4 linked regions of the Diceros bicornis minor genome follow. The protein of the gene in region 2 interacts with the protein of the main gene of each other region in a pairwise test. Links are inferred from orthologs where the notes say so. Each region holds a gene or a part of one and is shown on either strand. Other genes may lie near its edges. The genes, in order: GOLGA4, TRAF3IP1, IFT20 and SMC4.

Region 1 (7,545 bases), on a different chromosome or scaffold from region 2:
AAGACTGGCACCAATGTTAACCCAGGGCTAATCTCCCTCAAGCGAAAAAGAGGACTGCCAACAGATGTTAGCTCAAGGCAAATCTTCCTCAGCAAAAAAATTAAAAATAAAAATAAAAAAATAATTATAAGTAGTCCAAGAACAAACAAACAAACAAATTCGCTTGAGTGGGTAAAAGGGAACTGGCTTTTACACCCCATTAAATTCTTGAGGGCATGGTGCCTTCGAGACAATTTATACAAAAATGAAGAAATGATAATATACAAATTCAAGATCTTTTGCTTAAGAAAACAAAGATACGTGTAATCTGTTGCAAAAGAATTGTCATCAAAAAAGGTTTTTCTGGGGCAGGCCTGGTGGCGCAAGTGGTTAAATGCGCAGGCTCTGCTGCAGCAGGCCGGGGTTCGCAGGTTCGGACCCCAGGTGCGCACCGACGCACTGCTTGGCAAGCCATGCTGTGGCGCATCCCATATAAAGTAGAGGAAGATGGACATGGATGTTAGCCCAGGGCCAGTCTTCCTCGGCAAAAAGAGGAGGAGTAGCAGACATTAGCTGAGGGCCGATCTTCCTCACCAAAAAAAAAAAAAAAAGGTTTTTCTATTTTGTTTTTTAATTCATGTTTGAAAGAAATCCTTAACTCTGAAAACAATAATCCAGAACTCATCCTGAAGGGTTCTGAATAGCTGAGGATCTGAGACCACAAGAGAATCAAGTTTCTATCAGTAGTTCATCACTAACAATTTACTTTTGCATTCCGGATAAATATAAATATTATCAAAGAAGATTGTTTTAAATCTTTTGTACACAAAGTTATTTGACCCAGTTGCACTGTCTGACCAGAAGCATCAACCTATAGAAACTGAAAGCTCTCATATGTTAGCTTGTAACTATAGCTTTTTTATTATTATTCTAAAAACAATCTCTCTTTGCTAACGTACAAATTCATTTTCATGAAGAAAAATTTAAACATCACAAATATGAAAAAGAATACTCATAAGATCTCATCAGTACCTTAGAGCATCTCCTTCTTAAACTATTTTCACTGTCTGTATATATACTTACATACGTATTTTTTCCCACAAAACTGGGATCACACTTCACATGCTGCTTTTCAATCTGTCTTTTAACACAAATATCTTTGCGTATTAATAAAACTTTTCTGTAGGCTCTAACACTAGCTGTGTGACATTAGGCAAGTCACTCAACTTCTTTGAGCTTCACTCCATAAATGAGAAACTACCTCATGGGTTTATGTCCGAATTAAATAAAATAATCCATGTAAAATATTAAGCAAAATGCCTGGCACATAGTAAAAACCCAATAAGTGTTGGCATTTTTTAAGGCTGCCTAATAACTGACTACTTGATGTAACTTATTTAATCAATTTTCTATTGTTGAACATTTTTAGCCAGTTTTTACCTATTAAAACAACACTGAAATGAAAATCCATGTGGCTAAATCTTTAATACATCCTAAATTTTCCTAGAATAAATTTCTAGAGGTGGAATCCTGGATCAACGATATTTTACACATTCCCAAATGTAAGCAAGCCTTACACTCACTAACATGCTCATTCCCCACATGCCTCATCCGTACCTCAGTTTTAAGCTTTTTCTATGTTTCTTAAATAATCGTATTTTGTAAAGTTTAAAAAGCCTGAAGTAAATGGTACAAAAAATAAAATATTTACTATTTAAATTTTCATCGTTATTTACATTTTACATGGGAGAATGAACAAGCCTTCAGCGTAATGCTCTGATGTATTTCAAGCACTGTTTTACTCTACACGAGCTTAACAGAACTTCAATATACAGTTCCAGAAAAAACTCAATGCAGTAGTTGTTTAATAGTTGTTAATCAGTTGGTTAACAGCTGTTTAAAAGTTGCATAAGACAAATATTATGTTAAAAAATGTTTTAGAAATGCCTCCAAACCAGTTAAAACTCAGTCTTTCTTGTAGAAACTCTAAAGTTAAGAGATTTGCTCAATCTGTTGAGACTCAGAAAGGCTGGGAAGAAATTCTCTTCGCTGAAGAGACCACGCGCTGCCAGACCCAAAACACACATTCATTGGCGCTTAGGAGACTGTTTCTTTAAATTAACACTACTCACACGCTCCCTTTTTCCTGGAAACTGTCATTTCCTCAAGCAGTTCTATTCGTGAAAAACAAACGTTACAAGACTCTTGAAGAAGCAGAAGTCAGGCTGTGGACAGGCAGCAGCCGGGCCCGGTCTCGGAGTATCAGCCCCTCCGCCTGCCCAGATCAACCAAGTTATGCGAAGGGACTAACTCGTGACAGCCTCAGGCGCTGGACGCCGGCCACACTGTCGCCTCTTTCAGGTTCCAACGCTCCTGCAAGCAGCCTGGCCTGGAATGGCTCGACCCCTGGCCCTCACCCCTGGACGAGGGTTTGGACTTAGACTTTCGCCACGGGACAGGAGTCCTGCGGGATCCTGTCTCCTCCGTACTCAATTTCGGGTCAGGGATGAGAGGGAGGACTTCAGTGAAGAGGTCAGATATGACAAGGGACCCAGGTTTTCCCATCCCACACTCAGTCTTGAGTTGGGGTTTCGGATGGGCGGGGGAACCTTTGATATGGGTCAAAAATCACGCCAAGATCGGAGTCCCTCTCACTGGTTCTCAGGCCGGGGTGGAGCATCAGTGGAAAACTCGAACAGAGGTCAGATGCTACCAAGGATCCGGCCGCCCCCACCCACTCTCCCGAACGGAGTTTCGGGATGGGGGACCCCAGTCAGGAGTCACGGAGGACCTAGGCTGCCCTGAGCTCATTCCCAGTCCTGGGTTTGGGCGAATTACAATGTTAGAGGTCAAGGGTCACGGAAGAACCTCCCCTGCTCTTCGCCCCCGAGCCGGCGTCAAGGAGTGTCCGGAATTAGGGGAGAGCGGCGGCCATAGTACCTGAGTGGAGGCCAGCGCCTGCTGGAACTGCTGCTGCTCCTCGCTGATCTTCTGCTTCAGTTTCTTGAACATGGCGCACCGCGGGGTCCTGAGTGTGAATGAGACCTGAGGGGCGAGTGCCCAGGGAGACCCCGCCACGGAGGCGACGGCGGCTTCTCTACGCCAGGGACCGCGGGGGCCAGGCCTCGCCTCCTCCTCCTTGGGCTCGCGGGAGGATCGGGACACTCGTCCTGCGGGTGTCGGCGTCGCCGCCGCCGCGTCTCTTTCTTCTGGGTGCCACTGGTTGGCCTCGGCCCCCCATCCAGCCCCGGCGGCAGCGGCGGCGGCGACAACGACAACGGCAGCAGGTGAACGATGTGCCAAAAGCGCCTGCGCGGCCTACGTGGAGCTCGCCGAGGGAGCTCTACGGAGCGCCGGAGGGGACAAGCACACGAAGTCGGCCAGCACATGCGCGCTCGGGGTATCGCTCCCGAACGCGAGACGTGAAGGAAGACGCAGAATCCTGTGCTGCCTAAAGTCGTTGCGTGCAGAGAAACCCCCAGAATCCAGGCGAGGAGTGGTTTGAGCGCTTCACTGACGCACACTTGGGCTTCAGCGCTGCGAAGTCAGGCGGGGAGGGTGGTGCTGTTGAGGACGGCGGGGCTGACAGGCCCATAGCGAAGAACCAAGTATGTGAGCGTCCTGGGTGGGAGAAGGGTGTTCCAGGGAACCTGCCTGGGGCTCTGAAGGATAGTGTCCTTCTGTTCAGTATTTGTGGTGAGGATTCTGTATCTTCAGTGCCTACTACTCCTGCTGCTCCCCAGAGGGGCCCTCTTTCCTCTCCTGGACTCTTCCAGGGGTCAATAAGTACCTGACGGGAGGCGCCAGGGTCCAGATGTTTCAGGCCGATGTTGTAAGATCTCAATCGTTTGGACATCTGCCTTTATTTTTTATTTCACCGAAATCGTATATTTTCACATATTCATTCAAAAATTTTTATCATTGTGAGTGCCAGGTCTTTGGGGATGTTAAAAGAATTCACAGCCTGATGAAAGACACAGGTTCCTGAAGAGTTCAGATTTACCCCTAACACCTGCAGTCGTCCTAAGAGATGTGCCTGACTCATCAAACACCCCGAACTTTGGCGGTCTGTGAACCCTCAGATCCAGCTCAGCAACCTACTTCTGCATGCTGTACCAAATTGCTCCACATCGCCTCAGATATCAGAACCTGAGAGAGTATACGCTGATCTTCACATTTTAGCAAATTTTATTTACTAGCAATTATAGGAGCAAGTTGCTCTCTAAGATTCCATAGCCTGATCCCTAAATGTGTTAGAGCCAGAGCAGGGCCTGGTCTGAACACTGCATTGACAACTGGGCTAAGTCCTCTCTAGTCTCATAGTGAACACCTATGTAATAACCAAGAGTTTGTTTTTTCCAGGGGTCTTTCTCTCTCAAGATTGTAAAGGCAATAGACCTTCGGCTGCTCCCAGACTGCCGATGCCTGATATGCATCCTCACCCCAACGTTCACAATTATAAATCAAAGGTTGCCAATGTTATACATATGTATATGTGTGTGTGTGTATATATGTATATATTTGTGTATATGTGTATACATGTAGGTGGGCCCTATCAAAGCAGGCCATAATAAGTAATAAACAAATGATAAAAAGAGATCCAAAATATTACTTAGAGAAAGAAAAAGACCAGAAGAGGGCTAATTATGTCCTTGCTAGGACACAAAAAAGAGAAGAGGAGGGGCAGGGTTGAAACCATCACATTTAACCACAATTTTGTTGAAACATTAAGCCTCCTCACAGCCCATTTGGCTTTAGGCCTCTGCAAATTAACATTCTCTCATTGTCTGTTCTAATTAAACCTATAAAATATGCTCAATTCTTCTGCCACTCCTTGATGCAAATTACCTTCTGAAGGCTCTGGCCTTGGCCTACTTCTCAGAGTCCTGCACCAACCCAGCCAGAGCACCCTGCCTGCCCTTGTTTTCCATGTTAGTAACTTGGACTCATCTAACCAGCTGCCCAAGGACTAGCACACCTTGCATGAAATGGGTTGCATCCAATCATAATACCAGAGGCCTCATGAATTTATTTCCCCAGTGGAACTGGTACCTATCTTTTTTAACAAAAAGAAGCAATCTTCATAATTATAGACCAAACCTAATTATCATTCTTTCACTCCTTCCAATGGCAGATACCATCCCCATCTCCATATTTCAGGAAATTTTCAGAATAACATAATCACTAGGGACTGTGCTTCACAAAACTATTGTATATCGGGCCGGCCCCGTGGCTTAGCGGTTAAGTGCATGCGCTCCGCTACCGGCGGCCCGCGTTCGGATCCCGGGTGCGCACTGACGCACTGCTTCTCCAGCCATGCTGAGGCCGCGTCCCACATACAGCAACTAGAAGGATGTGCAACTATGACATACGACTATCTACTGGGGCTTTGGGGGAAAAAAAAAAAGGAGGAGGATTGGTGATAGATGTTAGCTCAGAGCCGGTCTTCCTCAGCAAAAAGAGGAGGATGGATGATTAGAGATGAAAGAGCATGGATGTTAGCTCAGGGCTGATCTTCTTCACAAAAAAAAAAGAAAACTATTACATATTATTAAGTTCCTTTCCAAGCCTTAGCTAAGAAAATAGTATGTCAGAAAAGACATAGCCAAAAGAACCAATTACAGCTGAAACTTTTAACTCTGATTTCCTGCTTTCTACAAATGCCTTATCAGCCCTTTTGCATCACCACACAACACGCTTTCTTAACCCTCATCAAGAATCCTGATACCTGCCACCCACAGGAGTAGAGCATAGCCGTTAAGAGCATGGTCTTTGATGTCACGCAGATTTTGGTTCAAATATAAGTCAGCCATTTTTTTGGCACTGTGACCTTTGACACTTAGATAAACCACATATAAAGTCAAATCCCTGAAAGGAGTAGAAAGGTTATGAGTGAAACACATATGATATAAGACAATGGACAATGAGGGAAAGTAACAAACTAGATAGTGCAAACCCATCGAGACATTTTTAAATGACTGCAGCAAAACAGCTCTTAGAATAAAATTCAGCTCAAAGGCCAGATTGTGACCTCTGAGTCTCAACTCTCTGCCCTTCATTTTCCTCATCTGTAACATTTTAACGTTTCATGGGAATGTTGTGAAGCTTAAATGAGATGATGTACATAAAGTATAGCTCATAGTAAATGATATTTATAAATTCTAAGAGTTTCATTCTCTTTTTACTTGTAACACTCTCCATCTATATGTTGAGAGCTCTAGCTTAGGCCTCCCCCTGAGCTCCTGATTATAGCATCTCCACTAGGCTTTCAGGTTTGGGAGGGCAAGAGCCATACCTGTCATAAAAGTCAGCCAGTGCGTGGTACAGGGCCTGACACTAAATTTCTGCAGAATTACCTAGTCTTGATACATCCAACTGCCTACTGGACAACTCCTCTTAATGGCCTATAAGCACACAAATTCAACATGTCCAAAACTGAAATCATCCACTACTACACCCCCTACCATCACCATCAGATTGGCCTCTTCTGTGTTTCCTCTCACTTCTTGCATCTTCTCCTCTTGACAGGCTTGTTTTACCATCTGTATTTTCTCGCTTGGCTGATGTCATTTCCATCTGCCCAAGCTAAAAGTTTGAAAGTGAGTTAAAACATCCCTCTCTCATTCTTCACCTATATCCAGAGAATCACCAAGTCTTGTGTCTTTTACTCTGAAATACTTCTCAAATCCATCCTCTTTCCTATTCTCTCTGCCACTCGTTTTAGTCTTCAGTATACCTCACCACTTAAATGATCTCCCAGTTTCCAGATTTGCTTCTTTCTAATCCATCTTCTACATAGCTGATGTTACCCTCCTGCTGAAATCCCATCAGTGGCCTCCTTGTCCTGCAGAACACTGTTTAAATTCCCAGGCAGTACAAGAAGCCCTCGGCAGCCTGGCTCCTGCTTTCCCTCTTACTATACCCTTTCCACCCTTCACACTTCAAAGCTCCAGAAATGTCAAATTAACTTGTGGTTCCCTTGCACACTGCTTTTGTATACGTCCTTGCTATTCTTTTTTTAGTCTACAAGTTATACATAGTAGTTGTGAAAATCTTAATGAGCGCAGTATACTCATTGTCCCTCATGAGTTTGTACCTTTTTTCCTTTTCCACTTATCCACCCTTGATAATGTTGCTCACATGTCATCACCCCATTCGAGCATTCTCTAACACTGCCTCCAAATCCCCCACACACACACACATCAGTGGAGTTCATCATGCTCTCCTCTATCCAACCTCAGTCTTACATGCTGTTAATTTATGTATCACACTGTATTTTTATCCTTTTTTATTTCAAAAGTAATATCTACTTTCTGTAACAAAAACAGAAGTATAATCTTATCTCCCTAAATAACCCCTTTTAATAATTTAGTTTGTATTATTTCCATTTGGTTTCTGTAGTTATGAAAATATAGAGATATGTAAATTTAATCATCTGTATATAAATATATTTGTAGGTTGTTTTTCTGTGTGTGTGTGTGTGAGGAAGATTAGCCCTCAGCTAACATCTGTTGCCAATCCTCCTCTTTTTTGCTGAGGAAGATTTGCCCTGGGCTAACATCTGTG
Region 2 (7,661 bases):
CTTCTCCTCCCACCTGGTACCTGCCTCCCCAACCCTTCCCGCAGGCTGACCCACATCCTGGGCTCTTCGCAGATGTGGAGCTCAGGGTTGGGCTAGGCTGGCCCTCCAGGCCTTTGTCTTGGGGAATGTTTGCCTCTCAGGCAGGGGAGACAGGGCCTGGAGACATCTGGCTTTGCGGCGCTCTCTCTCCTGGGGTGTCAAGACCATGGGTATCTCATTCATTCATTTATTCAGAACCTGCTTATTTCAAAAGCATCTCCTGCCAGCCTTTTGTGTTTCAAACTCTTTCTTTGCTGCAATTTTCTATAGTTATTTAATCAATTTTCTTTTTTTCATGAATGACTTTTTTTATGTTCTGTGCCTTTTCCTCTCATCCTTTCATGACTCTGAGGCACTCAAGGGTTATTCAGGCTACAGGGCCCCCCATCCAGCTTGTGCCCAGAACTGGAGGCTCCGGGCTGGCCTCTGCACTCCCCACCCCCGTGTCCTGATTCCAGGTTTCTTTCTTGGAGTCGGGACTCCTCAGCTGCATCTTCTCTGCCCTGCTTTCCCAGGGCCCAGACCGCCCTCCTGCTCTTTTGTGTGGAGGGATGGACTTGCCTAGGGGCAGTGTTGTGGCCTCAGGAGGACACAGTGGATGGCCAGGAGAACACTCCCCAGAGGCTGTGACCTCCAGGGACAAGTGTCCACTCCACGGCCACCTTCCCCCAGACAGGCCCTCAGTGGGGTAGGGCAGCTACGCTCCCTTGTTCCAGATCCTCTCAGACCCTCTCTCATGGCCCTGTGGTCCTCAGGAGAATAGCAAGACCTGTGCCCTCAGGCTTCCAAAGGGTCTCCTCGGCCTAGATGACCCCTCTGCTCTCCACAGTCTGTGAGAGAAATCAGAATTAGGCTTCCCCCTCGTGTGGCACTGGATGAGGTCCTCAGTGGAACCTCAGTGGCCAGAGGGCTCTCCACTGCCACACCTACCTTCCCTACCGCTCTGGTCTCTGGTTGACCGCTCACAGAAAAGCAGGTTGCCCCTACAGCCCTGGGCCCAGAGAAGGATTCTGCCTGGCATGAACTTTCCGGGGAGGGAGCTGGGGAGTGTCTGTCAAGAAGGCAGGGCACTTGGAGTCAGAGGCCTGAGTCTCCCCTCCATCCCCGCTCAGGCTGACCACAGTCATTTTCAGAGCTCAGAGGTGGCTGCTCCTCACAGGAGCTTCTGGGGTCTCAGCTTGGCCATGGGGAGCAGGTCAGGGAAGATGTCTTGGTGGGACACTCCAGCTCTCAGACACCACAGCATCTTCTGCATCTGGTGCAGCCCCCAGGGGCTCTACCTGGCCATCCTGTGAGAATGACATCCTACCCTCTCTTTCCTTAACACCTGGAGGGCAGGGAGCTCGTGTATCTTTGTCTCAGGGCTTCATCATTTCAGATCTTCGGGCCAGCCTTTGTGAACTAAGGGCCCAGCCATGAAGAAGTATGCAGTCTCACTATGTCTCCCCTTTTAAAAGCCCCTTGGGGGCCTGAAGTGGGGATGGGGTGGTGGGTGGGGAAGGAGAAGGAAGGGAGCTGACACCGTTCTCCATGTGAATGTGAAGTATTAGTTTGTGTGGGTGAGGATGTTCAGAAATGATAAGGCAGCTGGGAAACTATTTTAATCTTCTTTATGGGGTTTGATGAACTGTTTGAATTAATATTTGTTCTTGGGAAGCCAGATACACATGTGATAAAGATAAGTGTGTGGACAATCAGGAGAATAACAGGAACCTGGGAGCCCAGGAAGGAGACCAATTCACAGTGTCCATCACCCTGGATTGTTCTAAGGGACCCAGGTGCTGAATGCCACAGTGGACTGTCCTGCCAAGGCCTTGGGGTGTGAGACTGGACTGGAGAACCCAGACTCTGGGAAATGTAGTGCTGAGAGAAAGGGAGTGGATGGGAAGACACAAAAGCTTCCATGGGTAGAGGGTGGGGTTTCCAGAAAGTCAGGGAGATTTGACAAGGCAGGGGTCAGAGGATGGAGGTGCTCTGGCCAAGGAGGTAGATCTGGAAGCCGGGGAGCAGGGTTAACAACTGAAGGCTACCCGGGGGGGACTCCCTCGAAGGGTGCAATTTGCTGGGGGCTTTTTTCCCCATTGATCACGGCATAGTTGTATACAGTGAGTGTTGTCAAATTCCTTCCCTCGTGGGTTGTCACTCTCTTAGGCTTCTCTCAACCTCTCAGTAAAGTTGCCTACAGCCAGCCCACCTGCGTGGTAAATCGTGGAAAGAAGCGAGGTTGACACTGCTGGAGGGAGGTGAGCCTTGGCGGTTCACCTGGCCTCTGTCTAGGTGACCGACGCTTACATCATCCCGCATAAAGTTAGCAACAATGAGAGTGATGTTCCCAGGAGCAGTGGACAGCAGTGGACGGTGTGAATGTTGCTTACTAGAAGGTACATGGTTCCGCATGAAATCTGCAGCACCTAGACAGTACTCAGCACATAGCAGTCATTCCATAAATGCCAGAATGATACTTTATGGGCTATCTTCACCAAGTACATATGAATATCCAACAAGTATACAAAAAGATGCTCAAAATCACTAATCACTAGAGAAATGCAAATTAAAACCATAATAAAATACCATTATACACCCACTAGAATGACTGAAGTTAAAAAGACTGACATATCAAATGTTGGCAGGGATATGGAGAAACTGGAAATCCCATATGTTGCTGGTGGGAATGAAAAATGGTGTAGCCACTTTGAAAACAGTATGGTAATATCTTGTAAAGTTAAACATATTCTTACCATACAACCCAGTAATTCCAGTCCTAGATATTTACCCGAGAGAAATGAACACTTATGTTCACACAAAGACTTAGATGTGAATGGTCTTAGTAGTGTTATTCGTAAATAATCAAAAAGTGAAAGCAAACGAAATGTCCATCAACTGGTAAATGGATAAACAAATTGTATTATGGAATACTACTCAGCCACAAAAAGGAATGACATATCAATAGATGTAGCAACACAGATGAATCTCAAAAATATTATAAGACAAAGAATTAAACAAAAAATGTATGTACTGTATGATTCTATTTACATGAAACTCTAGAAAAGGTAAAATTATAATGACAGAAACCAGATTTGCCTAGGGCTGGGGGCAGGGGAGGAGGAGATGGATTGTAGATGAACAGGAGGAAATATTTTAGGGTGTGCAGGAACTGCTCTATATCTTGATCATGGTGGTGGCAACATAATTGTATATAATTATCAAACTGCATCAACTTTCACACCTAAAATGGGTGAATTTTATTGTATGTAAATAATAATCAAATACAATTTTTTTTTTTTTTTTTGGTGAGGGAGATTGACCTTGAGCTAACATCTGTTGCCAATCTTCCTCTCTTTTCTTGAGGAAGCTTGGCCCTGAGCTAACATCTGTGCCAATATTTCCTCTATTTTGTATATGGGTCACGGCCACAGCACGGCTTGATGAGTGGTGTAGGTCCTTGACAGGGATCTGAACCCGCGAACCCAGGCCGCCGAAGTGGAGGGTGCCGAACTTAGCTACTATGCCACTGGGCTGGCCCCTACATACAAATTTGAGCAAAAAACCCCAAAAAAACCCCACATACATCATGGACAAATTTATGAAAACCAATGATAAAAAGAAAATCTTGAAGGCAGTCAGAGACACAACAGACAGAACAAAGATAAGAACCACAGGGGACTTCTCTTCAGAAACTATATATTCCAGCAGCCAATGGAGTAAAACCTTTAAAGTACTGAAAGAAACAAAAATGTCAACCCAGAATTCTATAGTCAGTGAAACTATCTTTCAAATGTGAAGGTGCAATAAAGACTTTCAGACAAAGAGTGACAGCATCCATTGCCAGCTGACCTGTGCTAAAAGAAATGGTAAAGGAAGTTCTTCAGACAGGAGAAGCATGATCCCAGGTGGAAATCTGGATGTACACAAAGAATGAAGAGCACTGAAAATAGCAAAAATGAATGTAAAGTTATGAAGATATCCATCAGAAGAACTAAAGACAGGCCACAAAGCTTCCAGATTGCTAGAAGGACCTGCAGAGAGCCTGGGCATGGCGGATGGAAGACGGTGGGACGGAACCACACACACCTGGTAGAACAGCAGGGCGTGGCTTCGTCCCGGTTACAAAGCGCTGGCACGTCATTTGGCAGTTAGGGAGGCAGGCTGGCACATTATTATCCTACCTTCATAGGAACAGAAACGAAATCTCAGAGACCAAGAGTTACTTGCCCAAGAAGCCATAGTAAGTAACAGACAGGATAGGGCATTTTCTAACCCGTGTCTTTTGAGACAACTTAGTTCAGTCCCCTTGAAACCTGTGAAAGGAGCAACACAAATCTTGGAAGTCTGGAAGCGCGGTCACCTGTACCTCGGGGCGATTCCTGAGGCTGTCGTGAGGGCCCAGAGAGAAGGCGGGCGCTGTCCCCGCACCGGGAGGCTGAGGCCGTCCTCCCGCAGACCCGACCCAGCGTGCGCGCGCAGCCGGCGGGTGGTGGGCGGGGCGCCGGGAGCGTCCGTTTCTAGGGCCGCGCCGCCCTGGCGACCGAGCGCCGCGGCCCCGCGCACGCGCCTTGGCGGACTCCGGTGCACTGTGGGATGGAAACCCCAGCGGCTCGTCGAGGCTGGAGCGGGCGGCGGCGGCGGTGCTGCAGGCGGCCGGGCAGTGGGGCTTAGGCTCGGCGGGCCGGCAGGGCGCGGGCGCCGCCGCCATGAACGCGGCGGTGGTGAAGCGGACGCAGGAGGCGCTGGGGAAGGTGATCCGGAGGCCGCCGCTGACGGAGAAGCTGCTGTGCAAGCCCCCGTTCCGCTACCTGCACGACATCATCACGGAGGTGGGCGCCTGACCGGGGCCTGGGTGCGGGCCAGGGCTCAGGACCCACGGTGGGGGTCGGGGCCGGGATGCGGGTCGGGGTCGCGGCCGGAGTGCGAGTCAGGGCCGGTGTGCGGGTCGGGGCTCAGCACCCACGGCGGGGGTCGGGGCCGGGGTGCGAGTCCGGGGTCAGGGTCGGGGTGCGGGCTGGGGATCGGGGCCCACGGCGGGGGTCAGGGGTTCGCCCGGGTGGCGGGCTGGGGGTCAGGGCCCCGGTCCAAGTCGGGGTTGGGGGTCGGGGTCCGGCCTCGCGTCGCTGTGCGCGGCGCCTGCCCGAGGAGCCCGGCCTTTGGCCTGGCCTGCAGCCGGGAGGGGCGACCACTGGGCCCAATTCCGCAGTACCTCTGCGCGGAGTTCCTCGCGCTCATCCCTGCTCTCCTGTTCTCACCCATCCCCCAGGGCTGCCTCTTCCGGGGAGACTCCCAGCTCCTCAGGGAGCATTAATTCTTTCCAGCCTACCCGTGTATCTGTTAGAGCACATTTTCCATTTTCCCTGGCAGAGTTGTTTCTGTGATTTTTTTTTCCTGCAGTGCCTAGCACGTGGAAGGTGCTCAGAAATCCTGGGAGAATGAAATTATTCTTCTTTATACCGCCCCCCCCCCTTCCCCGGTCAAGTTTCCCACTGCACTGCAGAGCACAGTGGTCACCACATGTTGGATACTTAATAAATACCTGTGGGTGAATTTACTGAAGGTGGTTGTAGGGGGTCCCGAAAGGAAAAACTATAAAAGAGCAGGTTAGTGTTTGCTGGTAAATGGCACAGCCTGCCCTGAGTGGTGTTTGGTTGTCTGTAACTTTTCCCCACTGGATGGTGAATTTCTGAATGATGGAGACTGTAACTTCTTTGTTGGCATATCCTGGGTGAGCTGCACTGGGTACGGTACACAGAAGGTGCACAACAAACATTCATTGTTGAATGGACTCTGTCAAGGCTCCTGGTAACCCAGGGTGGCATCGCCCATTTCCATGGTGCACCTGGGGGGGCCGTGTTGAACCTGGGAACTCAGGCATGCTCTTTGGGAATTAGGAATCACGTTGAACTTGCAGGCTTCGGGGGGCTGCTATCTCACCCTGTGTTGGTCCTCAAACTTTATTTCTCACTCTTCTCAACAGGTTGGGCATCTTACTCTTCCACAAACTTTTCTTTGCTTGTTTCTGCCATCTTAATTTAGCTTATAATGTGTGCCTCTGTGCTGAAAACCCTAATTGTGCTTAAAATTCTCTGGAATCCCATCCACATCCCAAGGGTCGTCTTGACTGGCCGCTGCCTCCTTGTGCAGCTAGTGCAGCACTTACACCTGTCCTGGACAGTGTCTGGGGAAGGGACAGGGCTGTGTGCTGCATCGCCTCCACCCTGTGAAGTAGCGTCCTCCAGCCCAGGAGGGAACAAGTCAGTCAGCCTGGCTGACTGCGGCAATTGCTGCCACAGCCTCACACTTTTCTGTGTTAGTCCTGTCTCCCCGCTGAAACAGAGCCAGGGAGGAGGCGGGGGGACGTGCCTCATCCTGTGGGTCTTGGTGTGGGGCTGGGCTCACGGTGGCTGCTGTCCCCACCTCCTGGAAGGTCGGAGGGCATCTTAATGGAGGAGGAGGAGGAACATGCAAGCAGGAATTGGTGTGATTGGCCAGGTAGCCAGGCTGTGTGGAAGGAGTGAAGCGTTCCCTATCAGGAGCCACTCACCTGCTTTTCTTTCACAGATTTTTCCTAATCTAATGCCGAAATGAATTTCTCTACCGGTGTAAAGATAAATATGTTAATTGTCACCCACTTGATAAAGATATTAGGATGATTGAAATATTGGAAAGGATTTTTAGATAATAGGGGAAGAACCTCTATGAAAATTCTTTACTGCCCCTGAGCATTATAGTCAAGTCACCATATTAGTATTTTAGCTACAGTTAAACTAATTCTGCCTCTTTTATAAATCCAAGTGTTGATCTTGTGACATTAATGTCTCATCACTTAAAATTATTGCTCACAATTTTAATTGCAAGCAAACTGGGAAAACCTCAAAAGAGACAAAATGAAAAAGTTCCAAGAATGTTAAGTGCAGGATACTCGTAATATTCCACCTGTCTTATCAGGAAAAATAATGGCACAGCTCTTAAGTAGTTTGATGAGGAATGAAAGCTGACTTAATTAATAGCTAGCTGTAGCTTGGTGTCAGAGAAGGAGCCTGATATTAGCAGAGGGACTGTCTTCTTTTTTTTTGAACATGCAGTAATAAATATGCTCTGTATCCACCCAGGACATATTCACCCATAGACATATTCATCCTTACCACATACAATACATTCTAATATTTTCTTTTCTGTTTCATTTTTTTAAAATGCTTATTGCTACCCATTATGTTGATTTTACAGTGATCTACCACATTTTGAAAAACTGTGTCTGAGGGAACCCAGGGCCCTGGCTGTGTGTAGGGGTGGGGAGGAACAGAGAAAATCACCACCCAAGAGCTCGTTTTAGGGGTATTTGGGAGGTACAGGTTGACTAGGGGAGAGAACAAAAGTGATACGGCAGAGAGCACCCCTGTGTCCTAGGAAGTGAGCAGCACAGTGGTGAGGAAGACCTTTCCGTCCACTGTCAGAAACCCAGGCTGAGAAGTTCCTTTTTTTTCCAAGATCCATTCTCTCCACCAAGCCTGGGTGACCCTTGTAAGATGCCATTCCCTGCTTTTGAACCTCTCACGGCCTCCTCTTGTTCCCAAGACTAAGTCCGCATTCCTGAATGGCTTGGAAGGCCATCCAGGCCAGGCCCCTGCCTGACT
Region 3 (7,351 bases), on a different chromosome or scaffold from region 2:
CATTCCAAGCCGAGAAAACAGCATGAACAAGAGCCTGAAGTCACTGAAAGGGCCTATCCTGCCTAGAAGACGACAGGACAAAGGATGGAGCTGGAAAGGTTGGTTGGGGCCAGAGCAGAAAGACCCTGTGTGCCAAGCTAAGGAGTTTAGGGGCTTCTTCTGTAGGCAGGAGAACCAGCAGAGATATCCTCTCCCTTCCCAGGCCACCTTGCATTCCTGCTCCAAAGGATGCCTCAACTCTGGGAAGGAAACACTGACAACTCACCCTCATTCTGGCTTAAAAAAAAAAAAAAATTCCAAAGGCTCCCACCACCTGGCCTTGAGCTAGCCCTTCCCTTTCTCCCACCTCTCCCAGCCTCACCTGTTTCCCTTCCAGCTTCCTTAGAAGAGTTCAGTTCTGATAGGGGTGATTCTGGAAGTGACTGCCCAGAGCAGGTGTACCATAGGACCAATGGTTAAAAAAGAATTAAGTCCCACTGTTGCCAGAACTGATTTTCAAGAGGATCAGAAATCCAGATTGATATATGAAATCTGATTTTTAAAGGAAGGAAAAAAACACATCCAACACTGTGTGGGCCAACTAATGCATGTCTATAGGCTGTCTGTGCATGACTGTGGCCCAGGGCCTTTGGCCTCACTGGAATCCACTGAAGTAAGCAGGCTAGCATCTTCCTTTTGAAACATTTTAATCATCCAGAGCTTTCTTATAATCAGGCTTTTTAAAAAGATCTGTCTTCCTGCTTGATCTGTTATATTTACACATATAATCTAAGCATTTAACACCTACCAGGTGATTAATCAGACCTGCTGCTCTAGAAAGCTTCAATTAACCTTCAACTTCCACTCGCTCCCCTGCGAGTATGCATTTATTCAGAAATATCTACCGAGTCCCTGCTCTGGTGATAAGAGTAGTGAAGAAAATGCCTTATTGCTTTAGTTCCTGACTTCTGGACAGACAGCAAACAAATAATCACAAACTGTGATAATAGTATGAGGAAAAGCACATGGTGCTTTTGATACCAGCTCAACACAAGGTTGACATAAGGGAAGCCATACTGTAGAAAAGAAACCCTACTGTAACTTTGAATGACCTCTGACTAACTAACCCAGCTGGATATGCACCCTCCAGGAGATCTAACGGCTCTGTAGATTTTACAACCCCTGCTTGTGTATGTACCTCCCCGCTGCAATAAGAGGATAACTTTGTGCTTTTGAGTTCCTTAGGAATGTGATGACGCCCAAACAGAGAGTCTATGCTGAGAGCCATCATCAATGAAACTGAAAGATCTGGTGTGGCGACTCCCAGTCTGTAACACCAGAAGGTCGACATTCCTAACCCCCTCCCCTATACCCCACGGGCCTATATAACTGCTGTAAGATTTTGTGCCCCCTGAAGATGGTTCTTTTGGGCATTAGTCAGCCATCTTCCCCTTGCTAGCAAGCTGTAATAAATAGTCCTTTCTCTCCTACCTCCTTGCCTCTTGACTATTGGCATGTCTTGCGGCGAGCAGAAGACCTCCACTTGGGGGGTAACACTATGTGAAGCTGTAGCATGAGGACAGAATTCATATGGGGGGGGTGTCAACAAAACCCTTCTGAAAAAGTGACACTTCAGCTGAGACCTAAAGGATGGCCAAAAGTTTGTCAACGGAAGGGGGGAGGAGGCATTCCTGGCAGAAGGAAAAGCAAGTGTGAAGATCCTGAAGCTATAAGAAATTTAATGCATTCCACGAACTGAAAGGCTAGTGTGACTGAAACCCAGTGAGCAAAGGGGAGTGTGGAATAGGATGAGGCTAGATGGGGAGGCTATAGCTGGATCACGGAAGGCTCTGAAAGCTGCAGTAATGAGCTTGGACTTTCTCATAAGGGTAATGGGCAGCCAGTGGATTCTCAACAGATCTTATAACAAGATCTGCCTTTTAGAGAGCTCACTCTGACCCAGAATGGAGAATGGATTGGAGGGAACAAGGTAGGGCTACACCTACCTTCCTCATCACTGTAACCCTGGCATCTAGCATGGTGCCTGCTAGATGTGGCACTCAGTAAATGTTTGTGGAATGGCTGACTGTGAAAACAAAGGAGCCCATTACAGTAACCAAAGATTGGAGCTGAAGAAAAGTGTTCTGAGGTGAGATGTTTTGTAAGTCGAGTTGATAGGACTTAGTAAAGGATTGATTGAACGTAGCGGTTTGGAGATGAGTAAAGGAGAGTCAGGCAAGATTCCCACGCATCTGGCTTGAGCCAACTGTACGGCTGGAGAGGAGAGTTGAATGAGATGGGTAAGACCGGAGAAGGAGCGCAGGGAGAGGGCTCGCAGCCGACTATCGGATTCACTCCCAACTCCCACCACACGCGCGTGTCTGAGCATCTGAGGAACACTGGGCACAAGGCAGGACTGGGCTCCCCGAAGACGAGGGCGGTGTCGCCCTCTCCGCCCCCGGGCTCTCCCCGATCCACGCTAGGCCATACGAGCCTGCTCCATCCATGCGGTGTGGGGAGAGGGCACTAGGGGAAAGTTAGGAAAGCCTGGGTGATGGAACCGGCTTTACTACGTAAACTCCTTGAACTTATCTGGGCCGCAGTGTCCTCATAAGATCGTTCCGAGCCTCAACGCGTCAAGCTCCAGGCCCAAGCTAGGCGAGAAACCGCTCCCAGAGAGCGAGCGGAATTCCCACGTTTCCTTCGGCCTGGGACTGCCTTTCCTCAGGGCGCGGGCCCGTCAGGTTCACCTCGCCCCGGGTCCGCCCGCGTCCCCGGACCCGGAGTCACGGCCTACCTGCCCACCGGGTACCGCGGCGCGCCGCGCCCCAGGCTGACGTCGGCGGGCAGCTTCTCTCTCCGGTCAGCGGCAGCCGGTACCTTACCCGCCCGCCTCAGCCGCTGCCACGGCTACAGGACCTGTTTACCCATGACGTCACTACCTAACACCGGAAGCACTTACCGCAGCCCAACCCGCAGAGCCTGCGGGAAAACGGAGGTCTAAGAGGAAGGACGGCTGCCTACAAGATCCAGAGGCCTTTGCGCCGGAAAGGCCGCCGGAAGTAGCTGTGCGCTCTCAGCGGAATACTCTCAGGGGCTCCTCCCTCCTCCCTGATTGGGTGTTAGGCATCCCCGGCCTCAGCGTGCCATGCTCCCAGATCGGCGGGGCTGGGCAGCGGCTCGGGGTGGAGTTCGCGGGCGGAGGATGTGAGCTCACACGCTGGGATTGCTGGCGGGCAGGCGGCCACAGTCTGGGGGCGGCACGGTGTCGGCTTGCAATCCAGCTGAGAGGAGAGGCACCCCCGGGGACGGTGAGAGTCGGGTCTGCCGATGCCCTAGGGGAAGGGATGGACTGGCCGCGGACTGGAGCAAAGAGACCCCCACCCGGTGCTGGGGAAAAGGCGTGGGACGGCGTAGGGGAGATGGAGAGCTCAAATCCTCCCCTGGGAGTGGGTGTCAGAACCGATCCCGGTTTCTCGGTAGTGAGGTGGGGTACGGGCTGGGGAAGACTCGACACTGGGCAAATTTCCCGTGGGTTGGGTCTCGCTAAATCTCCCCAGACCCTTGGGATGAAGCCGAAAATTTACACCTAGCATTTCTGCTAGATCCGCCCTCTCTAGACCAGATCGGCCCCACTCCCCCGCCTCCGCCATCCTCCGTGTGTGACGGATTTCTGGGTCCTTCTTTCTTTAGGACCCCACCTTCTTCCACAGCTGTGGTTGTCTGCCCTTTATTCTGCTTGGGTTCCCTTTAGCTTCGCTGAGTGAGACGCGGATACGCCCCTAGCCCCTGGCATCCCCAAATATCCACACACAAAGTCCGGAAGGAAGAGCGCTGAGGCTATCAATGGAAACTTCATTCTCACTGGAATTACTTTCTGGGGCGTCACCTGCCACAGGATTCCTGGAGCCCATTGGCCTGGGCGGAATCTGAGCTGACGTCATCCATGGGCTCAAAGCAATTGCTTTGTAAGAAAGGAATAGATTAGCTCTGGATTTGTCTACCTCCGTTGGCAACCGCCTAGCCTTTGAGCTCCTTTGCTTTGGTAGAATATGTATGTGTACTTTCTTTGATCCTGGGGAAATTGGGGCTAGACACAGAATACGTAGGTAACTTGCTAAAACCTGTTGAAGAATGGATTTATTCCCTTGGGGTGGGCGGAGGAAGGTAAGGTGATCTCATACCACTCACCATTACTTACTGATTGGGCAGTCTGCTGGTGAGGGCTCAGCTCATCCATACTCCGTCTTGAAGGCAAATGAGAGTCTCCTGGACAAGCCCACTTGCTCTCTTGCACCCTTACAATTCATTCTCTACGCAGCAGCCAGAGTGATTTTTTTCAAAATGTAAATAACTCAGGTCATATCACTCCCCTGCTTAAAACCCTCCAATCGATTCCCATTGCAATTAGTATAAAATCCACTCTCTAATATGATCTGGCCCCTGCCTTCCTTGACTTGAAATCAAGCCAACATCCCCCTTCTTTCTATGCACCAGCCATCTTGGCCTTGTTTCTGTTGCTAAACCTTGTGTCTAACTGAGGAACTTTGCCCTTACTCTTCCATCTATCTGGAATGCTCTTTCAGACCTCAGCTGGAATGTCAGCTTCCTAAAGAGGCTTTCCCTGACCCCCTGTCTGAATTAGTGCTTCTCACCAGTCACTCTCTTATCTCTGTTTTATTATCTTTATTACATTCCTCACCTTCTGGAATTGCCTGCTTATTTATTCATTTTCTTGTTGTCTGTATCCTCCCACTAGAATGTAAGCTCCATGAGGCCATAACTTGTTTGTTCTTTTCTGTATCCCCAGTGCCTTGCATGGAGCAGTGGCACAATCAATGCTAACTCTTAGTATTTTTATTCTTGTTTACATTATGATGCTTCTTTGAACTCCTTGAAGGCGAAGACGGTATCTTTTCATCTGTCTATTGCTACTGCTTAACATAGTAGGCACTCAATATTGTTTTATTGCTGAATGAATTAAATGAGCTAATATATATTAAATGCCTAGAATAGTGCCTGGAACATAGTAAACATGCGAAGAATGTTTGCTATTATTTTTTTTTCAGTGACTGAATTTCAGTGATTCTTTAGAAAACCAAAACATATAGCATCTAAATCATGAGGGGTGACCTGGCTTTGCTCTCCTCTGCTTTCCTTGCCCTCCCTCCTCTGAACTCCTATCAGTGTTTCACTTTCCAGATCACTTAACTGTTTTTAGATTTATCATCTGTTTTTTTCTAGCCCTTTCTCCCCATTCTTGTTGGGAGGGAAGAGAGGAAGAGATAGGGCTGGGCCGCCTCTCAGGAAAAAGAAGCAAAAATAGCCATCCTGTAGTTGCTCTGTCCTGGAAAATGGTGACAATTTCAGGAACTTAGGACAGGGCTGATGCCAAGAAAGAGGAAGGTCAGGAAACCCCGGCTGGAGCCAGAGTAGCCCCTGCCAGGAACACTGGCCGACTCCCTCCAACCTGGCTCCTTCCATGCTCTCCTGAAGCTGCTTTTACTTGCCTTCCTGAAGCCAGACTCCGGGTGGTGCTCCAAGTAAGAACTGGTGCAGGCTGCTCCTGAGCCTGGAATCTTTAGAAAGGAAGCGCATCCTGTCACTCGGGCTCCTGGGAAACTCCCAGGCTGGCTGGATTCCCAGTATGTTTGGCTGGAAGTCTTGGATCCTGGGAACCTTGAGAAGAAAATAACTGGAATCTGACTGGTGGATCCCCAGGGTGGGGACTTCTGTTCTGCCCAGTCTGTTCCTCAAGCCATCTCTGACCAGCTCCAAGGGTTTGCTTGTCCTCCTTGCCGTCCAGAGCTGAGCTGGGTCTCAGGGAGGCTGGTGAGGTGACCAGTTCCCGGCTCTGTGAGACTGTGCTCCCAAACCTGATTCCTGGTTCCATAAATAACAGCAGGAGTGTCTTTCTTTCTTTCTTTCTTTTTTTTTTTTGTGAGGAAGATCAGCCCTGAGCTAACATCCGTGCCAATCCTCCTCTTTTTGCTGAGGAAGACCAGCTCTGAGCTAACATCTGTTGCCAATCCTCCTCCTTTTTTTTTCCCCCAAAGCCCCAGTAGACAGTTGTATGTCATAGTTGCACATCCTTCTAGTTGCTGTATGTGGGACACGGCCTCAGCATGGCCGGAGAAGCAGTGCGTCTGTGCGCGCCCAGGATCCAAACCTGGGCCGCCAGGAGCGGAGCGCGCGCACTTAACCGCCAAGCCACGGGGCCAGCCCCAGGAATGTCTTTCTTAAGGCCTAGGGCCTTAGCCTCTGCCAGGGAATCTAGGGCTTATTAAGGAGAGAATGACTGGATAGTCAGTGTTTCTCCTCCTGTCCCCTCCTGACTGAGGGCTCTCCTCTCCTGACTTCTGTCTTCTCTCCCATCTCCTGCTCATAGCACTGAGAGCATGAGGCTCTGGCCCCCACTGGCCACTCACTTGTGACCCTTCCACCACGGTGGAGCCTTCCAAGCCGACCTCCTGCCGTGTGGTGATCTACCTGCAGCGGGAGATGTCAGGGGATACCTGTCTATGCCCAGCCTCAGGGGCCAAGCCCAAGCTAAGCGGCTTCAAGGGAGGAGGCCTGGGCAACAAATACGTCCAGCTCAATGTGGGCGGTTCCCTGTACTACACCACCGTGCGGGCGCTCACCCGGCACGACACCATGCTCAAGGCCATGTTCAGCGGGCGCATGGAGGTGCTGACTGACAAAGAAGGTGAGGCATTGGGGCTTAATGAGTGGGGTGGGGAGGGAGGGAGGAGTTCCTGAGGAAGTGACTTCAGGGCAGGGCTTAATGCCGACAGTTCTAGAATCTAGATTCATTTTTCCAGTTCACCTGGTATACGACTCCTTCACCTGGAGTGCTTAGTAGAGCTTCGGAATTCTTTGAAATTGTACATAGAATGTTGTGTGTTTATGCATTTTCCAGAGAAGATCCATACTTGTTTTATATTCACATAGGACTAGATTCTCGTAAGAACCATCCCTGTAGCAACTGGGCAGTGGGCAGAAGGCAAGCAGGGCGTGATGGGTTCTGTGTTGCTGTGAGGTGGGCCTGAGCACTCCTGAGCTTAGATCCCTGTGGGCCTCCACAGAGCCTGGAGGGCCCATTGTCTTCCAAGGCATGTGCCAGTTCTTGGTTTCAGGGAGGAGGAGTGAAGAGCAGCCATGGACCTAGGAGCTAGAGGTTCTGTTCCCATTTCTGTTACCCTGTGCCATGGGCTCTGTGCTCATGTGCTCCTTGCCACCTGCCACCAGGCTCGTCAGGTGGCCTTTGCTTGCTTCTGAGGTACCTGGAGGCAAACAGTAACCCTCTGGGGCCTGTCTGAATCCCTAGGCTGGATCCTCATAGACCGATGTGGAAAGCACTTTGGCACCATTT
Region 4 (7,834 bases), on a different chromosome or scaffold from region 2:
TAATCTTCCAGATACGGTACTTTGTTTTCTTCCTTATATAAAATGGGGCTAATAATACCTACTTCACAGGTTGGTTATGAAGATTAAATGAGATCAAGGACGTAAAATATCCAGTAGAGTGCCTAGAACATAGTAAGAACCTAACAATCATTAGATCTTTGTAGTGAAAATTGATGTCTTTGTCACTCTTCACATATTCACTCTTTTCCTAGCTACAAAGAATTTCTCCTTGGAACACCCACTTTCTCACTCTTAGCCCATGTGGCTTGAATGGAGCCAGCATGAGACCCAGATTTAAGCCAATTAGAGCATTCCATTCCCTTTGTACTAAGACTGTTTCACAGATGGCCCAGGACTTTTATTCAAATAAATCATGGGGAAGAAAAACTCTCCTTACCCTCAGTCCTTAATTTTAGAAGATTTGAGGCTGGAGTTACTATATCTTACCACAGCAAAGGGAGAGCCTGGAGGTGCCAGAGGCCACTACATGGAGCCCGAGAACAATGCCACGACAAAGGAACGCAAAGGAAAGCAAAGAAAGAATCCGAATCCTGGTGTCTTTGTTTGGACACTGAATCCAGTTATACTCATCTGCCTTTTTCGTTATGAGAGCCAATATGTTTTTCTCAAGACAATTTGGATTCGGTTTTCTGTCACTTATAATCTAGAGAGTCCTACCTGAAACATTGCTATAATTATTTCTTCTTCCTAGATTCTAAGAATGGACATTTTCTGGGTGATCCTCTCTTTACTCACAACCTTAAAAACCTAATCTATTTTTAGCATTCCAACTATTCTTATAACACTATCTCATCCTGTTTTCTCTACTGAGCCTATTCTCTCTTATCCTATTCTCCACCTCTACCGCCCACTGGATATATCTTTCCTAATCCCAACCTACATGAATAAAAACAAACTCATCTTTCAAAACGGTCTTTCTCCCCAAACTGTTCCACTTCTTCACTTCCTACTGTTTCTGTATTAAGACGGATGAGAGTTTCAGCAAGATTAATGTACTAGGGGGCTTATATTATCAAGAGGAATATTCATTACTATCTGTCCTGTGTCTATATCCTATTTATTAATCTTGAATAATATTCTCTAAGTATTTATACATTAGTTACATAAATTCATGTTTATTTGTTCATTTTGAATTATTAGTTAATATCTAATTAATCCAAATATTTACAATTACAAACTTGATTAATATTTTTAAACATTTACCCACAAATCTAATTTAAGACAATGAAATGTTATAACCACATTAGAAGACAGACAAAACACATGTTATTGCTATAATAACAAAACTTAACCACGCACTTAAAGAATTATAAATGTGGATTTTAACTCTAATTCCAATTCTTCTCTTTGAACTTATTCTTATTTCTTCCTGTGGGATACAATTTTACTTTTAAAATGTAAAATGTGAAAGTTCTCCTCTCAGACTCAGTATAGATAACGGTTGTTAGTAGATGATTTTGGACCAGAAAGATGAAACTTGGTTATACTTTCCAAAATGACTGTAACCTAGTCCATTCCAATTGGACCAGCTTCTTTTTATAATTAAACTCTGTTAATTTCATGAGACTTATCCAAAGCATTAGCAGGCCTCAATCGAGTACTTCTTGTGACCCTGATCTCTTCTCAAATCACTTCTTCATTTATTCAGCGTCCTACTTTCACTCTAGACTTAAGTCTACTCTGTAGCTGTTTGTTATGAATGCCTTTTCTACATTATACAACCTGGTTTAAGCCTGTTTTTGTGTGTGTGTGTGAGGAAGATCAGCCCTGAGCTAACATCCGATGCCAATCTTCCTCTTTTTGCTGAGGAAGAATGGCTCTGGGCTAACATCTGTGCCCATCTTCCTCTACTTTATATGGGACACCGCCACAGCATGGCTTGACAAGTGGTGCGTCAGTGGGCACCAGGGATCCGAACCTGTGAATCCTGGACCGCGGAAGTAGAACGCGCGCACCTAACCGCTACACCACCAGGCCGGCCCTCAGTTTAAGCCTGTTTGAAAATATTTGCTCTGAGTGGAACATGGTTAGGTTCAACTAAATCTAAAGCCATCGATCACTTTATTGATCTATTGAAATTATATTTCTTTTTCATCAGTCGTTAAGATCTACCATTATTTACAGTAATCATCAAAGGCAGTAAACTAGGATTTATCTGTGACTTATCCTTCTTCCTATCCCCTCATCACTAATTCAGGGATTTATAAACAAAGAACGGTATCTGACTAACTTTAAGGGTTTAGACTCTTTTTTTTTAAAGAACATTTATTGAGATCATAGTGTACTGGAAATGTCCTAAACCTTTATCAGTTATTTTTTTCCTCTTTTGCTGAGGAAGATCCACCCTGAGCTAACATCTGTTGCGAATCTTGTTTTTTTTTTTTTTTCCTTGAGGAAGATTAGCCTGAGCTCACATCTTTGCCAATCTTCCTCTGTTTTGTACATGGGTCCTGCCACAGCATGGCTGACAAATGGTGTACGTCCATGCTCGGGGTCTGAACCCACGAACCTGGCCACTGAAGTGCAGTCTGCCAAACTTAACCACTATACCATGGAGCTGGCCCAGGGTTTAGACCCTTAACCATTAAAATCTGCAAAAGCTATAGATTTTTTTCCCCTTAAATGTGTCTGGATTTTTTCCATTCTATTTGTAGGCACTTCTCACCGTCCACATGGAGGACTGTACAGTAATAATCTAACTAAGTCATGCCTGATCTCAGTCTCTTTCCCCTTTAACACAATCCACATAACTACTGTTAATTTTTGTTTTTTACCAAGTCATTCCTTAGCTCAAATTTTTTCTAATAGGTGTTTCCTCCATATCATATCTAACACCCTTGACCTGGCTTTCAAGACCCTTCATTAGTTAACCTTTTTCTAACTTGACATCCCATTATTCATCCTTAGCACATACCCTAAGAAGGTCAATGTCATGAACACAGCAATATCAAATGCATATAGCATGTGTGCTAGATGAACAATCATAACCAATCCTATGAGGTGGGTATTATATGCTGGTTTTATAGTAAATACTGTCAGAGAGTTGATAAATTAAGTTGTTCAAGAACGTAGCTAAAAAATGATAGGATTTGGGATTCTTTTCTCCGTTACATCTTTCTACTACATTGTGCTCTATCTCCCATATACACCACTCAACATGGTCTAGACCTGCTTTTTTCATGGTTGATATCTCTCCAACTCAGGTTTTGCAGTGTTTTACAAACTTCGAAAATCCAACAGATTCCAGAAGCTCTCAAAGAGAATTGCTACATTTTCTTGGTATGCCAAAGAATTTCTCTCATTGAGCTTTATTGTCTGTAGTTTGTCTTATGAAAATAATAATTCTTTTTTCAACTTCAAATGTAAAGGTATATTATAATATCTATTCAAACCACAGTTTCCCAACCTCATCTAATACACCTGCAAGGAGTGTCCTTCACACCCCTTCTTGAGAATCCCTGGACCAGGCCTGACGCTCCTCAGGGCAAAAGTCATAATACTTACTTAGAATCACAACGTAAATTCATTCATAAAGCAGATTTATTGGTGCTTTAGTATGCCAGGCCCTAAGTACACAAAAGTTAAAGGAAAAAAAGACGGTCCCAGTTCTCACTGTCAAGTACGTAAGAGTCGCTGAATAAATACTTACTCAAGGTAGTCAAATCAACCAGTTAACATTGTGGGGCATTAGGACCACGTTTGAGAATCTGATCAAAGTTCTGGGAAAACTAACTCCCCAGAAAAATGCACAAACACACAGAATTTTGTATATAGTTTCCGGGGGGGTTATGAACTCCTTTGACGCCCAATCACCTACCACCAGATCCACAGATTCCAGATTAAAAACCCACTAACAAAACTAACATCTCTGGAACAGGAATACTTGCTTAATAATCCTGATTATGCCTTGCACAGTGTAATATACACAAAAGCTACTTAAGAAATATTTGCCGATCGATAATTTTCTCATAAAGAGAACCAGATGACACTGGCAAATCGTTTCTTCCATTACGGAGTTTTTCAGTCAAATGATTTTAAAGGCCCAAAACCCCGTTTCACCAGTGACGCTAATGACCTAACCTCAGTAAATCAAAATCGTTATTTTGCTTTTCACATGTGGACTACACGATCGTTCAGCAATTCAGGTCCTCTCTCCTCCTTGCTGTCCCACCACTCCCTCCACACTCATGGCTTCCTCCTTGGCATCCCAAAAGTTCCGTCCAGAGCCCCACTGCCCCCAGGGAGACGGAAAACAACTGACGCTCTGCGCCGCACACACCGTCTAAGCAGGATGGTGGGATCCAGTGATGGCCACAACTTCCAAACCCTTTCCGCACGACGTCTGGAAGGGAAGAGATTTACCTTAAGGTCCAGGAAAGCGGTGGCACTTGTTATCGCAGAGCTAGGACCGGTTACCAAGCAGCCTCGCAACCTCCCTGTCACCATAGTGACTTCTAAGATCTACGCTCACTGCGTCTTCCCGCGATACTTCACCGCCGCGCGCCACCCGAGCGGGCCCGAGGCCCCGCCCTCAGCGAGCCCGCCCTCTCCTTCAGGGACGTTATTGGACGACTGAGCCCCGCCTCTAGCTGTGGGCGGAACCCCACTCTTTTTTTTCGTGTGTTTCAGAACTCGCCAGATTGTTTTTCTTTTTTTAATTTGTTATAAAAGTGGTGTTGCCGTAGGCCATCGGGAAAACACTGTTTCGCTCTTCCTTTTCTCTTAGTAGAAACATCCCCTGCCGCGTGGGTCCCGCCAAGAGTTCGCGGCTGCGCGTGAGCGACCAGAAGATGGCGGTGATAATCGCCGCATTTTTTTCAAATTAGTGGTTCCCAGAAAGCACTGCGCGCATTTGTAACGAATTTCCGTTCGAGTTTGTATTTTAGGCGCCATTTTCGAGTGAAGGACCCGGAGCCGAAACACCGGTAGGAGACCGGGGGCTGCGCAGCCGGTCCCAGCCCCGGTCTGAGTGGACTGTCCGCAGGTAAAGGCCTTCCTTCCTGCCCAGGCTCTCCCACTCTCCCTTCTCGTCCGTCGGCGGGCCCCGGGCAGAGGCCGGCGCCGGGCGGCGCGTCCGGGCTGCGGCGGGGGCTCTCCGGCTGTCACCCCTCCCCCGCGCTCCCGCCGCCGTCGGGGGTCCGTCGGCCGCGCGGAGCTCTTCCAGGGAACACGGGCTCTCCCGGGCAGGGGCGTCGCCCCACCCCGACCGCGGGTCCGAGCCCGTCCTGCTGACCCTTCGTAGTCGATGACCCAGCGGCTTGTGCCGCGCCCCGAGGGACCGACGCCGCCGCCCGGGTGACTGAGCCGAGCCCGGCTACCCGCGCCCAGTTGGGAAGCGGGGAGCGGGCGACCGCGGCGGGCGGCCATTGGAGGAGTCTCCCGGCCCGAGGCGGGAATGGCATCTCCGGGCGCGTGACCTCGGTTAGGAGGACACGAGAACATTCTGTGACTCCTGTACCGTGGGCGAATGGGGGGCATTACAGAAAGCAGAAGGACCGAAGGCCCGGGCACGTCTGGGTTCCCCCGCTCCCTTAGCACTGGGATCTAAGCGATCCCCCCCGCCGCCGGGCACCTGGGGTCTTGTGCCTGCCTTCCCGAGGCCGGCTGGCCGGAGCGGGCTTGGAGAACGGCCCTCAGGGCCCGGAGGACGGGGTTTTCCCGTCGGGCCGGGCCCGGCTGACCGGCTCCCGCCCTCCCCCAGCCCAGCCACCATGCCCCGCAGAGGCAGCCAGCCCTCTACCGCCCGGCGCCGAGAGGAAGGGCCGCCGCGGTCCCCGGACGGCCCCGGCCGCGCCGCCAGCCCGGCCGCCGAGGCCGCAGGTGAGTGCCGGCCGCCCGCGGGGGAGCGAGCCGCGCGGGGAGCGGGTGGAGGGCTGCGGGGTGGCGTTGGAGGTCGCGTGTCGGGCCCCCAGAGCAGCTCAAGAAAGCGAGTTGGCGATTTTCAGAGATTGGACTTCGCGCACTGTCTCTGTAGCGGTGCTGGAGGGGATGGGGGCGAGCAGTGGCTTCAAGTGTGCGTTTGTGGCCTTGTGTTTCCGCGGCAAGCGGCGCGGGCAGCCAGTGTCCGACAGAAGCAACCTGCCTGTATGCTAATACGATGAAAAGTTGCTTGACACTTACTCACCTCACCTCCGGGGTCTTCAGTTGCGTTTAAACAGAAGATGAGAATTGACTCGGAACCGCATCGCTTTTGTGAGTCCGGGAGTTGGATGACATTATGCAACTCCTGTGACAGTATCGCTGGAGCTCGTGAGTGTCCGAAGTTAGGGTTCCAGGCTAACCCTAAGTTAGGCTCCGTCTCAAAGAGACGGAGAGAGCTGCATTTAACCACCTGTTTAGGCGGGAGCAGGGAATTAGGTTGTTGTGGTTTCCCCAGATTTGCTTGATGATGTAGTGTTTTGATTCCTAAGAGGTGTATTTCTATAGAATTTTGTGACTGGTGGCATTTCTTTCAACAATTTTTTTTTTTTTTTTTAAATAAAACCAAGCTGAAAGATTCTTATCCCCGGTGAGTTTAGGAGAGTATTATATTTAAGTGGAAAATAAAGGTTCATAAAGAATATGTCTCCAGAGATTAGCAGGCATTAGTCCTCCGAACTAATTGCACTAATGCAGATTTTTTTTTCCTTTGCCTTCCGTTTTCTCTGCCTGATTTAGAGACTCCAAGTGAGGAAATTGATAATAGAAGTTTAGAAGAGATTCTAAATAGCATCCCTCCTCCCCCACCTCCAGCAATGACCAATGAAGCTGGAGCTCCTCGGCTTATGATAACTCATATTGTAAACCAGAACTTCAAATCCTATGCTGGGGAAAAAATTCTGGGCCCTTTTCATAAGGTATTTGACCATTTGAAATAACTGTTATAAGGTAATGTGTCTTTATTATAAGATGTTTCAATTGTGTAACTATTGTAATTATCCTGATCAATACACACAGGGCATGTTTCCTATCCTTTTAACCACTGGATTTAGCTTTTGTTTATCTGGTTATCTTTGGTACCTCTTTATGCTGTAAAGTTTTCCTCGCTAAATAGAATTGGTGAGTTTTTTGTTTGAAGGGTGTGTTTTCTCTATTAGAATGAATTTTGTAAAAACTCTGAGTGAGAATTAGAATATAGTCTTATTTAATGTGTTGAAGCTTGTGATGGAGGAGAACATGATGTGACAACTTAAGTTGTGTTATCTTCTAGCAGTAAAAACTTTGAATAGTTGTAGTTTGCTGCAGGTAAAAAAATCAAGCAGATTAAAATCAGTAGAATTAGTATGACTTTTTTAACTTTATTTTTTTTTTCTGTTCTTTTTATGCAGCGCTTTTCCTGTATTATTGGACCAAATGGCAGTGGCAAATCCAATGTTATTGATTCTATGCTTTTTGTGTTTGGCTATCGAGCACAAAAAATAAGATCTAAAAAACTCTCGGTACTAATACACAATTCTGATGAACACAAGGACATTCAGAGTTGTACTGTAGAAGTTCATTTTCAAAAGATAATTGATAAGGTAGGGGACTTGGACTATTTAGCTATTTGTAACTTCAAATAAGGAACACAAAAGATTTCAATACATTGCACATTTTATTATTTTTGGCTTAAATTGGCCTTCAAATATTAGTATATGGTTAAAGCAGAACAGATATTGATTTCATTACCCCCATGACCATATTTTCTTTTTGAGGAGTGGTGGTGGCTGCCATTAAACTTAAAATATTAAAATTTTTAGCCAGGGAAATGAATTACAAGTAGCTCATAGTAGTGCTTACCTTTTTGAAATAAAACATTGAGCAGTTTTAGTATCCTAAGAACTAAATAGGCATT

What was found.
Region 1: the proteins of TRAF3IP1 (region 2) and GOLGA4 interact in a two-hybrid assay, tested with the Homo sapiens proteins (2 studies listed by BioGRID and IntAct). The link is inferred for Diceros bicornis minor from reciprocal best matches to the Homo sapiens genes TRAF3IP1 and GOLGA4.
Region 3: the proteins of TRAF3IP1 (region 2) and IFT20 interact in a two-hybrid assay, tested with the Homo sapiens proteins (2 studies listed by IntAct). The link is inferred for Diceros bicornis minor from reciprocal best matches to the Homo sapiens genes TRAF3IP1 and IFT20.
Region 4: the proteins of TRAF3IP1 (region 2) and SMC4 interact in a two-hybrid assay, tested with the Homo sapiens proteins (2 studies listed by BioGRID and IntAct). The link is inferred for Diceros bicornis minor from reciprocal best matches to the Homo sapiens genes TRAF3IP1 and SMC4.

What each region holds. Positions count from the first base shown.
Region 1 is NC_080741.1:40,222,299-40,229,843, reverse strand, and holds the start of GOLGA4 (golgin subfamily A member 4), read right to left. Parts: upstream 3,009-7,545; 5' UTR 2,992-3,008; coding exon 2,920-2,991; intron 1-2,919. UniProt on the Homo sapiens protein: Involved in vesicular trafficking at the Golgi apparatus level. May play a role in delivery of transport vesicles containing GPI-linked proteins from the trans-Golgi network through its interaction with MACF1. Involved in endosome-to-Golgi trafficking.
Region 2 is NC_080776.1:25,701,010-25,708,670, forward strand, and holds the start of TRAF3IP1 (TRAF3-interacting protein 1), read left to right. Parts: upstream 1-4,651; 5' UTR 4,652-4,730; coding exon 4,731-4,853; intron 4,854-7,661.
Region 3 is NC_080757.1:19,128,167-19,135,517, reverse strand, and holds the start of IFT20 (intraflagellar transport protein 20 homolog), read right to left. Parts: upstream 3,004-7,351; 5' UTR 2,942-3,003; intron 2,900-2,941; exon of another isoform or gene 2,777-2,899; intron 1-2,776. Other genes in the region: TNFAIP1 (BTB/POZ domain-containing adapter for CUL3-mediated RhoA degradation protein 2), read left to right, coding at 6,481-6,685, 7,307-7,351. UniProt on the Homo sapiens protein: Part of intraflagellar transport (IFT) particles involved in ciliary process assembly. May play a role in the trafficking of ciliary membrane proteins from the Golgi complex to the cilium.
Region 4 is NC_080754.1:66,299,797-66,307,630, forward strand, and holds the start of SMC4 (structural maintenance of chromosomes protein 4), read left to right. Parts: upstream 1-4,832; 5' UTR 4,833-5,005; intron 5,006-5,722; 5' UTR 5,723-5,732; coding exon 5,733-5,841; intron 5,842-6,678; coding exon 6,679-6,857; intron 6,858-7,328; coding exon 7,329-7,520; intron 7,521-7,834. Other genes in the region: IFT80 (intraflagellar transport protein 80 homolog), read right to left, coding at 4,384-4,467. UniProt on the Homo sapiens protein: Central component of the condensin complex, a complex required for conversion of interphase chromatin into mitotic-like condense chromosomes.